Linked DNA regions of Caenorhabditis elegans. The protein of the gene in region 2 purifies or fractionates together with the protein of the main gene of each other region. This does not show direct contact. Each region holds a gene or a part of one and is shown on either strand. Other genes may lie near its edges.

What was found.
Region 1: the proteins of wrt-10 (region 2) and pges-2 fractionate together in Caenorhabditis elegans (co-fractionation; one large-scale study listed by BioGRID). This does not show direct contact.
Region 3: the proteins of wrt-10 (region 2) and dhs-5 fractionate together in Caenorhabditis elegans (co-fractionation; one large-scale study listed by BioGRID). This does not show direct contact.

The regions. Positions count from the first base shown.
Region 1 is NC_003282.8:10,365,807-10,369,728, forward strand, and holds pges-2 (Prostaglandin E synthase 2), read right to left. Parts: upstream 1,985-3,922; coding exon 1,748-1,984; intron 1,700-1,747; coding exon 1,601-1,699; intron 1,554-1,600; coding exon 1,401-1,553; intron 1,352-1,400; coding exon 1,065-1,351; intron 1,022-1,064; coding exon 907-1,021; intron 859-906; coding exon 706-858; 3' UTR 527-705; downstream 1-526. Other genes in the region: NAD-dependent protein deacetylase sir-2.1, read right to left, coding at 1-43, 115-264, 329-382; iars-1 (Isoleucine--tRNA ligase, cytoplasmic), read left to right, coding at 2,809-2,912, 2,974-3,862, 3,913-3,922.
Region 2 is NC_003280.10:7,532,723-7,536,598, reverse strand, and holds wrt-10 (WaRThog (hedgehog-like family)), read left to right. Parts: upstream 1-2,035; 5' UTR 2,036-2,152; coding exon 2,153-2,341; intron 2,342-2,417; coding exon 2,418-2,653; intron 2,654-2,700; coding exon 2,701-2,965; intron 2,966-3,016; coding exon 3,017-3,103; 3' UTR 3,104-3,337; downstream 3,338-3,876. Other genes in the region: ZK1290.13 (MARVEL domain-containing protein), read right to left, coding at 179-315, 364-446, 496-593, 642-757, 1,201-1,294, 1,345-1,416; wrt-1 (Warthog protein 1 N-product), read right to left, coding at 3,459-3,739, 3,810-3,876.
Region 3 is NC_003280.10:5,451,846-5,456,601, reverse strand, and holds dhs-5 (putative oxidoreductase dhs-5), read right to left. Parts: upstream 2,756-4,756; coding exon 2,577-2,755; intron 2,272-2,576; coding exon 2,051-2,271; intron 2,002-2,050; coding exon 1,894-2,001; intron 1,500-1,893; coding exon 1,177-1,499; intron 1,123-1,176; coding exon 817-1,122; 3' UTR 625-816; downstream 1-624. Other genes in the region: daz-1 (DAZ protein 1), read right to left, coding at 41-268.

The DNA.
Region 1 (3,922 bases), on a different chromosome or scaffold from region 2:
CAAGAAGTCTTTGAGCACGACGAAGATTCGACATCATTTCGTCCTGAAAAATATTAATTTAGAAACATTTTAATCTCCTTGGGAATTTATCTTCATTTTTTGGCGAAAACTCACATTATTTTGCCAAGACTCTGAACTGACACTGGTTGTACTTTCTGTTCTTTGTCTACTCGAATCTGTGTTTGTTTCGGGTGCATCGGAAATATCTGTTTCTTGTGTAATGTGCATAGAACCGATTTCTGGATTTTCCTCCGTTATTTCTTGCTGAAACATTTTACGTTAGGTTGTTAGTAAGGAAATTTTAAAAAAATCTAATAAATTAACTCACCACTTCCCCGTGTGTGACCGCAACTTCTGAATCGTTGCCACTATCACGTGACATCGTTTATCGATATGATTAATTTTATTAAAAGTAGACCAGAACTGAATACGAAAATCAATTCAAAAGTGAACCAACTGCGTCAACGGGAGATACCAAATGCGCGTCAACAAACGCTGCATGGCGCAAACTGCCGTCTTCATGAATGCAGAGTAAAACATGGTTTATTATGAGGGAAAAATGTAGAATTTTAACTAAAATGAGATCCTAGCTGGTAAAACATTGAATTGATTCAATAAGACAAATAGGATGAGAAAGATAACAAAAACACAGCAAACAATAAGGCACTAAATCAAGGACTAGTCTATATTAACAATTTCAATCTTTTATTTTTGACTTCTTGATTCCAATGCTTTTCTTCCATCGTGGTTTTTGACAAGTGCATCCATTTTTCGCCACCATTCAGCAATTTTTTCTTCTAAAATAACTTCTTTGAACGCTGAGCATCCATAGAAAGAATTCATAGCTCCATATAATGACTGAAAATATATCAGATTGTAAATCCTTCTCCAAAAAATCAAACCAACCAGATCAGCTAGATTCGGTTCATCTCCTCCTAAAAACTGTCTATTTGGTCCAATTGCTGCCATCCAGTCACGACAAGCCTTTCTCAATTCTTCTCGTTCATCATTGATGTTGTGCCTTTAATATCAGAAATCATGATATAAACTTCTAACTAACTTACTTTTTCTTCAATGTTTTTGAAAGTAAAAACATTGCTGCTGCACCCACGTATACCGCTAGAACTCTCTCCCAGGCTGGAAAAGTACGATGCCAGTCGCCAACTTGTTCGAACCAACGGAATGTCTCGACAGACTCATTCCAATTACGATATACATTAGGAGAAATAAGATGGATGAACCAATTGTCCACCCATTCTCTCCATTCCCGCTCTTCTCTGGCAGAAGCCATATTTGCGTCCCCGTCTACTTTTCCCTTCATAACGAAGAATTTGTTAGGGTAGTTGAGAACCTGAATCAGCAAGGATGTTTTAAAATTGCAGAGTAATTCAAAAACCCACTGGCTTTCCTTTCTCGTTTGTTGAATCAACTGCTGGATACATTTGTATTATCTGGTCGAGTGACTGATCGGGTCTTTGAAGATATGTTGCCAATGTGGAAATAATCAAAGTAGACTCGGTCATAGTTGTCTCGCCACTCCTGAGAATTGGAACCTGAAAGAAAATAGATAAAACAACCGGAAATGTGAATGAAAACTTACTTTTTTATAAGTTGTGCTAAACTTGATCTGTGATCTAGTGACTGGATTTACTTCTACAACCTCATAGGAGAATCCGTGATAATCTAAGAAGGCTCGAACCTGTATTTTTGATTAATAGTTTTCATACTTCACACAAGAGTAACGCACCTTGCAACAGAACGGGCAAGTCTCGTATTGATACAATCGGAGCTTCAAGTTTGACTTATCCAGGTGATTAATAACTTTTCGACTGAGGAGGACATCATTCTGCACTTTCTCGGGTTGCTGAACTTGAATTGGGCATGTTCTGAGTTTTGCTGTTTGGATATCGTCCAGCTTTGATCCTCCCCACGAGAATCCAGCCAAAGAAGCAATCTGGACTGTCCGTACACCAAAAAAACGCATCTGAAAACTAAAAAATGAATTTTCAGTTCATTAAAAGAAAACGGGCGGAAAAACACAACGGATCGGTTACATTCATACAAATTTCACTGAAAAAACGCAAGAAATGCGCTTTTTCTCGCGAGAAACCGTTTTCCACTACGGGGAATATCAAATTTAAATCAGCTTCATATTAACTTTCACTTTATTTGTCTGAAAACGGACTGTAATTCATAAAAAAAAATTTTCGGCGAATTAAAAAGACGGGAAATCGTGGCGAGACCCTGCTGAATAAATGCATGCGCCTTTAAAAAATTGTTTTATTTGGAGTTCCCATTTTCCAGTTTTCTTCTTATTTTGATCGGTTTTTCATGCAATTCCGATGTTTTTTGTCATTTAAGTTTGTTGAAAATAACAACTAAATAACATTTCATTTAACTCAAGTACTTATCTGACTGCTTTAGAAGAGGTTCCCATGTTTTTGGTAGTATTTCATTTGTATACATCTCTTTCTACACTGGAATAGTTTATCTCACGCTACTGATGGTGTCAATTTAATGTTTTCTTACTAACTAGATGAAAACTTGGTAAAATTACTCGAAGATGTGCCTTCTAGATACGAAACTATGCCTTAAATTGTCCTTGATAACGTTTCCGTTAACACCACCAATTATTCAAATAAATATATCATATTTTAGTATGACGAATATTTAAAAAATTACTACTTCCATCAAAATTTCGCAATACGCAATAAAGAATGTTGCATCAGATTTCATGTGATTGCGTTGTTATTTATGTTAGTCGCCTAGTGTCTAACTTTCGCATATTTAAAATTTACAGGGTAAAAAATGAGCGGCCTTTCGACCGTTCCCGACAACATCAATTTTGCCAGAGAAGAAGATAAAGTCGCTCAAAAATGGCAAGATGAGAATACTTTCCAACGTTCTGTTGAGTTAGTTTTTTTTTAAATATTCTGGAATTGTTCACATTGAAAAAAAAAACGTTATCTTCAGGCTGTCAAAAGATCGTCCACATTTCACTTTTTATGATGGACCACCTTTCGCTACTGGCCTTCCTCATTATGGTCATATGCTTACCAGCACCATCAAAGACGTTGTTGGTCGCTGGGCTCATCAAAACGGTCACTATGTAGAAAGACGGTTTGGTTGGGATACTCATGGTCTTCCAGTCGAATACGAAATCGATAAGACGCTTGGAATCAGTGGTCCACAAGATGTCATGAAAATGGGAATCGCTAATTACAACAATGAATGCCGAAAGATCGTTATGAGATATTCTGGCGAATGGGAGAAAACAATGGGACGTCTTGGTCGCTGGGTAGACTTCAAGCATGATTACAAGACTCTCTACCCGTGGTTCATGGAGTCTGTATGGTGGGCTTTCAGCGAGTTGCATAAGAAGGGCCTTGTCTACAAAGGTGTAAAAGTTATGCCTTTCTCTACTGCTTGTTCTACTCCACTCTCCAACTTTGAAGCTGGTCAGAATTACAAAGATGTAGTAGATCCAGCAGTATTCGTCGGATTCAAATTACTCGATTGTCCGAATAGGCAGCTAGTTGCATGGACAACAACTCCATGGACACTTCCATCCAATCTAGCTCTAGTTGTTCATCCAGACATGCTGTATGTGGTCACTAAAGATAAAACGACTGGAATCGAATACGTTGTTCTGGAAGAACGTCTCGGAGAGTTGAAAAATGATAATTTGGAAGTTATTGAGAAACTTGCTGGTAGTCAGCTCAAAGATCTCAGGTATGAACCATTGTTCCCATACTTTGCCTATATGCGCGAAGAAAGAAACGCATTCCGGGTATTGAATGACACTTTTGTCACCTCTGACTCTGGTACCGGAGTTGTTCATCAAGCACCATATTTCGGAGAGGTAAGATTCCTTTTTTTCTTTTCTTTTTTTATATAAAAAATACTTTCCAGATCGATTTCC
Region 2 (3,876 bases):
TTTTTTTTTAATGCAAAAAAAAGTTATTCAACAAACAGATAAAATTGATTACAAAAATGTTTTCTGATGTAAGATTCTCCAAAAACTTAACATTTATTGACAAATAGTATTATTCTGTTTTCTACACTATTTTCTGAATAACTCAGCTCAAATTGTTTAATTGCCTTATTGACACCACCTGAACAGATTGCTCAATGGATTCATGCTGCATTTTGAGAACTTGAAAATACGTCCGTCGAGCCACAATGAATGCCAACATTTTTAGACAAATCAGGATGACACATACAGCTGAGATAATTGCACCGTATTTGATTGCTGTAGTGGGATATCAGGATCTTTTGAGCTTCAATTTGATGTTCTTACCTCTGGCTGTTTCAGGATGGGTTTCATTTGGATTCGCGTAGTTTGAGTCTTTTATGTTATGGGAAGTACGAATTCTGCTTGTTCTGAAAGTTCAATACTTATTAGTATTATATCTCTAATTGAAAGAGATACGAAGGGCCTCCCAAAGACTCTAACGACCACATTACTCCGCTAGCGACCGCATTTAGAGCCGAATAAAGCCAAATGAACAACCAAAACATTGTAACCAACTGAAATAGCTAGGAAATTAATAATAAACTATTGCAAAATATTATTACTTGATATGATAACATTGGATACGAAAAAATAGGTGATTGCTTCGATAGACACAAGTTGTATGTGATTATGGCAAATAACATAAAAAATAGAAATGCAAAGTTGAGGAATACAGGATCTGAAATTTGGAAAATGTTACAAGTATCTATAAAGCGGTGTCTTTTTTTAAAGAAATTATGTACTTTGAAATGAAGGTGTAAAAATTACTGATTGAATTTCAATGTGATATACTCAAAGTACAATCGGGTAAAATTAAATTGTACACTTATGTAATTAAAAAAACAATTTTATTCATGGAATAGACTGATATTTATGTTGTAGAGCTTCCCCAAAAATTACCTCAAATGTATTTTCCATTTGTTTCCGCCCCATAAAAGACAATTTAATTTCATTTTCATAAAATCACTATTTCTATTAGTATAAGCCTTAAAAGTTCAGACAATTTCTGAGGTTTTTCAATAATTGTGGGGATAAATCTACTGCTTAAATATCAGCCTACTTGAAGGGAAATGCTGCATGATAAAAATTAAAATTCATCTTGAACTGAAAACCACAACTTACACCATGATTGCGCATAAATAAGCGAGCAAATCGATAATACCAAAATTAATTTTCCAAGTATTGACTCAAAAACCAGCAATACTTTTGAGGCTATCTGAAATATTACTATTTGTGAAATACAATAAGAATATTTAAATGTCTTACTTTAAATTTCAAACCAAATATCTTCGGTGCGTGAGCATATGGACTAACATGGCGAGGCACTCTTTGAGTCATCACAAAAAGAAAGAAAAGAGCAATAATATGGTTGAGAGAGAGTGGAAAGCGAGTGATACTCTGCCTGTATGTGATAACACTTTTTATAGATGGCGAAGCAAATAGGCAAACATAAAAACTAAAAACGAACAGAGAATGGAGTTAGGTAATCGGATTGAAGTTCAAACGGAAAGTTTTTTGTTGCATTTCAATTGTTAGAAACCAGCTAAAAATTACATAATTTAGACACAAGATATTTTCACTGATTTTTTAATACTGTTAGTTTATATATTCAGCTTCTGTCTACATAACATCGGAGATTGTCGGTTTATTTAGAACCTCTCAACATCTTAAATTTGTTTTACTCTGAGTACTAAAAAGTATGTACAACCCATTCTACTATTCCGAATAGTTCCAACACAGACATATTTTCCGTTGCTTCCTACATTTTTCTCAGTTTTCTCCTTCATTACACACAACATGTCGCCCTTTTTTCCGTGGACTTTTTCGGCAACAATCGGTCCGTCCACACCGTGTCCGACATCCGTATCATTCTTTCGCCTCCTAATTTTCAATACTTTCTCTACTTCAGGCCTTGACCCATGTCGATCTTCCTGTTGGAGACACATCTGTGTGACCCACAAACCCAGTAATCTACTACTCATCGGTACGACCCTCCCCGCATTCTTATCTATCCCCATCGTCTATATTCCCGCTGCCCTCCAAAATCTCACTCACTTATTTCCAAATAGCTAGGATGCTCCTTGTTTCTGTTATTTCTTGTCTACTTATTAGTGTTTTAGCAAAGGATGCTGTTACACCTCGTGTCGGATCTCAGTGCACAAAAAATCAAGTCGTTCGTAAACTGACTGTATATGAAGACGGAGCACTTGAAGCTGAATGTGGACCAGTTCCTTGTGGAGAAGTTGGAAAACGATGCATTGACGTAAGTTTAGAAACAAAAATAGTAATTTGCATATTGAAAATTATAACGTTAGAAATACATTTATTTCCAATTTTAGGATCAAACTTCTTGCCGTGCTGAAACCGATGTTTTCTCCGGAATGAGATGGGCTCCAAACGGTGAGAGCATCTTGCTCCGCTGTTGCACAATGCATGCCAAAAACAAGATTTACGTAGGAACTGATGTTGTTGCTGCTGGAAGCTTCTACGAAGGAGGAGAAGTTGCTGAAAAGGATCTTTATGGAGATAAGGGTGGAGCTGAATACGACTTCGTTGCCAATGCCAGAACTGAACAGTGAGTTTTTAAAGTTCTCATCGTAATTATTAAAACTAATTTTTCAGAGGAGGAGTTCGTGTTTGGGTGTACCGTATGATCTGTGCCAAGGGAGAGAAACCGGTTGATTTTGATCCTATCACTACTACTTCTGCTCCAAGAGTCATTAAGACTACTCCAGCACCAACAACTACCCCAACTGTGGAGGAAGAAGCAGAGGAAGCTGAACAACTTGAAGAAGATCAGCCTAATGACAATGAAGCTGAAATTGTTGAGAGCAATGATGAAGAGGAAGTTGTTGAAGAGGAAACCGAGGAAGAAGAGGAAGTTACAGTGAGTTTATAAGAGCTTCCTTCTATCTGAAATATTGAAATCTTCTTGCAGACTACCCCAGCACCAAAACCATTCAACCCACTTCGTTACCGTCCACCACACTTCCCAAGACAATCGACTGGAATCCGTAGAGCTTAAACTCGTGTGCCCTCACTATTTTTTGTTACCTCTATTTTTTTTATTTCTTTCCTATCAAGTTTGATGATCTTTTCTTCCCTCATTCAAATCCACTCGCATTCATTCCAATGAGTCCATATCAAAACGAGTTTGTACATTTTAATAAGCTTTTCATTTTAATAATACCGTTAATAAAATATTTCTCTACAATGTTTCCTTGATCTATTATTTTTTGAATTGCTTTTCCATCAAGATTTCAAAGCTGACATAAAAATTTTGAAAACATTTATTATCCTTTGAGAGAAAAATTGAAAAGATCGACATGTCAAGGAGGTTTATTATAAATAATTATTAGTTATTAAAATTGAAGAGATGACTAGTACTTATGTGGCAATAGAACATCAATGATATTCAAGAAGAATTCAGAAGTGGCTGGAAGATGCCCAGTTTCTTCTAATGATCCAAGAACTGATCGCATCTTTTGTTGAACGGAAGTGGCGAAGTTGAGGAAAGTATGAGATAATGTGTTAGCCTTGACAACATTGTGACATGAAGCATACACGTCATCAACAATTAAATCTCCAGTTTCAGTCATTGGAGCGTACACTCCAGTCTCGTAAAATGTTGATTTTTCACTGATAGTTGTCATCACGAGTTCTGAAAAGATTCGTAGAATATATAACTTCAAAGTTGAAACGCTGAAGTTCCTGATATTGAAAAAACTCACTTTCATTTTCCTTCACCATCAGACAATCCCCAATGGTCATATCCTCAGCATACACAAGTTCCATTTC
Region 3 (4,756 bases), 2.1 Mb from region 2:
AGTTAGGAAGAACAGAGAACATATCAAGAAATTCACGAACCGAAGTTGGGAAGCCACCAACGAAAATACGGTTTGGAATCAGCTCGTATGTAGGTGGTGCTGGTATTAGTGCGGCTGCTCCGGTTGGATAAAGTTGTATCGGAGTTGATGGAAGAGAAGTCGGTGTTTGTGGCATGAAAGAGACCATCTGATGAGCAGCTTGCTGTGATTGATTTTGCTGATGTTGCTGATTTTGTTGGTCTTTTTGATACCGTAGAGGCGGCGACATCATAACCCGTTCGCTTTGATTCCAAGAACCTAAAAAAATGAATATTTATTAAAAAATGCTCAAATTGGGATAATTTTTAAAAAATACATTTAAATGAACAACAATTTAAGATTTTCGAAATTCTAACCATTAAAACTAAATTATTTGTTCAAAGCAATTTTTAGAACACTTATTTCTTGAAAATAAAGGTGGAAAGAAAAGGTTAATAATTAAAATTAAATCAAAGCGAAGTTAGATGTGCAGGTCAACATCAGCTACCGTACTGCACGCGCCAATTCAAAATACAATTTCAATATTTTCTAACTGTCTTTTTTCAAAAAGCTTTTAATTATTGTGTTTCAGAAAGACAATTTAATCTCATGAAAATATTTATTGTTTCGATAAATTTCACTGCAGGGGGAGTTGACAAAAACCAGAAAAAAAAACAAGAAACGAAATAAAATTTCACAAAAATAGATACAAGAACATGTTATTAGAAATTAAAATTTGTATGTAAAGCACAATTTCAGAGGGAAAATGAAAATTAAAAACAACTATTCTTTTCAGTATTAGGCAGTGGCCGAGTCACGAGTGACAGTTTTCTTTGTTGTAGGCACCACCGTTTCCTCATTCAATTCTTGAAGTGAAATTTCCTGTTCTGGGTTATTGCTCGTATTGTGCAATTCTGTCACACGTTTTCTCTGATGATAGTAGATTGGCATGATAAGGTACTTGAGAATAGTCCATGGGAACAGGTGGAATCCGAGCATTTGAAGCTCATGGTTCAAACATCCAGCAGTCTTCTTCGTCAATCCAATTGAGCCAACCGCCTGGTGGCAGAAGTTTTCTGGTGTCACAACGAATGTAGATCCTTTCTGGAAATAAGATTGTAAATTAATTTTCTAAGAACTTCGCAAATAACTGCTTACCGTGTAGTAGGTCATTTTTGTGGCGACCAATGCAGGGATCAAAGTTTGAACATTGATTGTACTGTACTCGCGATCAATCGATTCGCACAAGAACGTCATCAAAGCCTTTGTTGCACAATAAGCCGCAAGCATGGGTATTGGCCGTACTCCTTGTGAAGACGAGAGCACAACAATCTGTCCACCTCCAGATTTCTCCATTGGTGGGAGCACACATGATAGGAACTCGGCTGCACCCATTCCATTTACTCTCAATATTTGAGTGTCCTCATCTGGATTGTCTCCATATCTTTCCAAATTGTCGCGACCAGTTCCAACGCTGTTCACTGAATGGCAGCTTTGAATAAATATATTCAATGTTTCTTGGGATTTTCCCGTCAAAAGTTAGTCATATGAAACAGAATGTTTACAGAATCTCCATCTGTCAAATTACAATTACAGTAACCGGTTTTACTTGAGTTTTTCCTAATGGTCAACTTGTGATAATTGAATTCGCAAAACCACAAATGGCAGGTCAAGTTCTTTAATCTAATTGGGACAAAGTAAACATTCTTATTTATATTTCTTTCTAAAGTTTGAGACATTTTTCATATTACCAACTGAAAAGTCTCAATCCATATGTTCATTATTCAGGAATTTTCCAAGAAGTTTTAAGTAATCAACTAGCCAAATCTGCCCTACATTCCCTCATATTATTCCCCTTTTCACCCAACTTCTTACCGACAAATCCAACATCGATGTCGCTGATGTAATCGCGAAGGCTTGAGAAGTCGCCACTACCAAAGTCAAACACAAAAGTCTTGATTTGAGCGTCCGAGTGCTTCTCCTCTGAAAATTAAATAAATTAACAATACTAAATAATAATAAAACAACTTACCAATTTCTGATTTAACCGAATCAAGTTTCTTTGGATTTCTTCCAATAAGTACAAACTTCCGGAGACCTCGCTTTGCAAGTTCCAATGTGTAAGCTTTTCCAATTCCATCGGTTCCACCGGAGACGACTGTCCATCTGTGTTGGTACTGTTCCAGATTTGGTTTGTAGAAGAGAGGTGCAATTGTGTAGATGAAGATTGCTTTCAGGAATGCAAAGAATGTTCTGAAAAAATCAAGTTTATATCTCTACCATACCTCTACAGTAACCTGAACGCAACTTGTTTTCACACCTATGAGTTTTATATCACAAGACAACGGTTCACAAAAATGTTCTAATGAAATCTGTGACTTGAAATTTTCCGCATCCTCTTTTTCGCGGCTTTCATGAGAAGTTTAGAGTCGCGTCAAGACCTGGTACAGTATTCTTAAGTCATAGATAAAATCATTTTGCATATAGGTAAGTTTTCACTACAGTAATCTTACAGTACCCATTTTCCAATTGACTATTCAATTTCACTACATAAATACCTGTATAACCGATATCCCACATAAACGACTGGAATTAGAAGAAGCATTGTAACAGCTAATTGAGCACCGTTTTCTACGTGGAACGTTGGAAGAAGAGAGTGTAGAGAGGCAAAGAAGGATGTAGAAGACTCCTCCGGAATGAGGGTTGAGGAGAGAGGTGGAGGTGGAGTCGGCGCCATCTGGAATAAATAGAAAAGAGGTTCAGATGTTATCTTGAAGAGGTCAAAGAAGAGGATACAAAGATTGTAACATACACAAAAGAGTAAAGTAGACAGAATACTATTCGAGTAAATAAAATGTTTAGTGGAAATTTACTTTGGTCTTATTGGGTTGGAAAAGTATAGTGTAGTATCATTGCTTTCTCCAAATATCATTTCAAGGTTACATATCAAATTTTGTTAAATTTTGGTTTAGAAGTATATTAAATTTTTATCATGCGTTTAACTTCCAACAAAGCACCAAGTTTTTCAAAAAACATTATTAAGCTCAACTATTAACATTGAGAGAAAGGTGCCATGCATGTTTTTTCCAATTGACAGTTTTCTGAAAAAACCTTTTTTGTGCAGACATAAAATTAAGTTAAAAGGTTAAAAAACTGCCAATGCCATAAGACATCAAAAAGTTTTTAGATTCACAATTCGTTTTCTAATATAGTGCTTCTAAAAAACTATCTGTAAAAGATATTTTCTAGTCTATTATTTCAAATTTATGAAGAAAACTAACAAAGAACCCCATGAGAACAAAAATTTGCTAAAATGATGAGATGAACTGAATGCCCAGATGTAGGCTACACGACGGTTGTGTAGTCCACATAAAGTGGGGTGGGAGAGGGGAGTGTTATGGTCCCAGTATGGCAGATCATGCATTTAGATAGTGTGCTAATAGTAGTCTAAGAAATTAGTTAGTTTCTCAAAAACAATTCGAAATATTTCTTTAACTTACAGAAGTTGGCAATAAAAATTGTCGCCAAAAACTAAATACCGTAAATCCTTAAGTGTAAAATTTGCATAAAGAATAATACGGCAAAAGTGCAACAGAGTTAAACGGAAAAGTAATGTGCGAAAAACTGAAACCGTATGAATTTTTTTCAGCCAAAAAAGTAAAGGAAAAGTATCTTATAAGACCTCACAAACTACGTCGATTAGCTGGAATTTCTAAACGTGGTCATTTGAATAATTTTCCAAATCTTGACATAATTTAATTTCTGGTAAAGCTGTTTGAAATACTGCATAACTTCAAAATTAGATTCATTTAAACCTCAACTTATTCACTCATATTTACCTACATTGCTTCAAATTCATCTCTCAACATATCGAGAAAAAAAAACTTACAATGTCAAACATGGCAACAAATCGTAACTTTTAGAATATAGCAACAGAAGTGAGAAAGAGGTCAAATTGTGCGTGGCTATAGAATGAAATTGAAGCCATGCAAAGTTTGAAAAAAACCAGTTCAAAACGGAAAATCGGGGGATCATAGAGAACGCCGGAAAATACATATAAGGAACCTTTAATCTTTGAAATGAAAAATATATAGAAAATGCTATGATGGTTCCAGGACCGCCGCCCATATTAAAATGAAATAATAAGAAATTTCAGTCAGGAGGCAAGCAAATGATAATAGATCAACGGTTACACTATCATCATCATTTCCTGTATTGATGCCCAGTTTTTAAAAGTGCGGAATATAACAAGAGAAAGTCCAACTGGGTAAAAAAAACCTTGATCTACTAGTCAACGAAGACTGAAACATTTACGGCAACAAAAAGTTTTAGATTTATTAGACGACATTTGTAAAAATTTATGTTACTCATTATTATCTTTACCATTCCAAAAAGTTACAGGTATACTCTTATGCATTTAACGATGTTTTCTATGGTCCGTTTTTTGTATTAAACTGGTTTTTCAATAAGTAAAAGTTTTAAGAACATTATTGCACCAAACTCTGATATGCGAAAATCTTTAGAAATTTCTGAAAAACTATAAAATTGCAAATCCCAAATTTAGCAATTTTACAGTTTTTCTGAAATTTTTTTCTGAAATATTTACGATATAGGCATTTTCTGTAATTATGTCCCGTGTTGCCTACAACAATTATTCAGAAATAAATTCATTGAAAACTGTCGAAGATCAATATTTTCAGTTGAACATTTTAATTCTTCAATCAATTTAAGTTGTGCA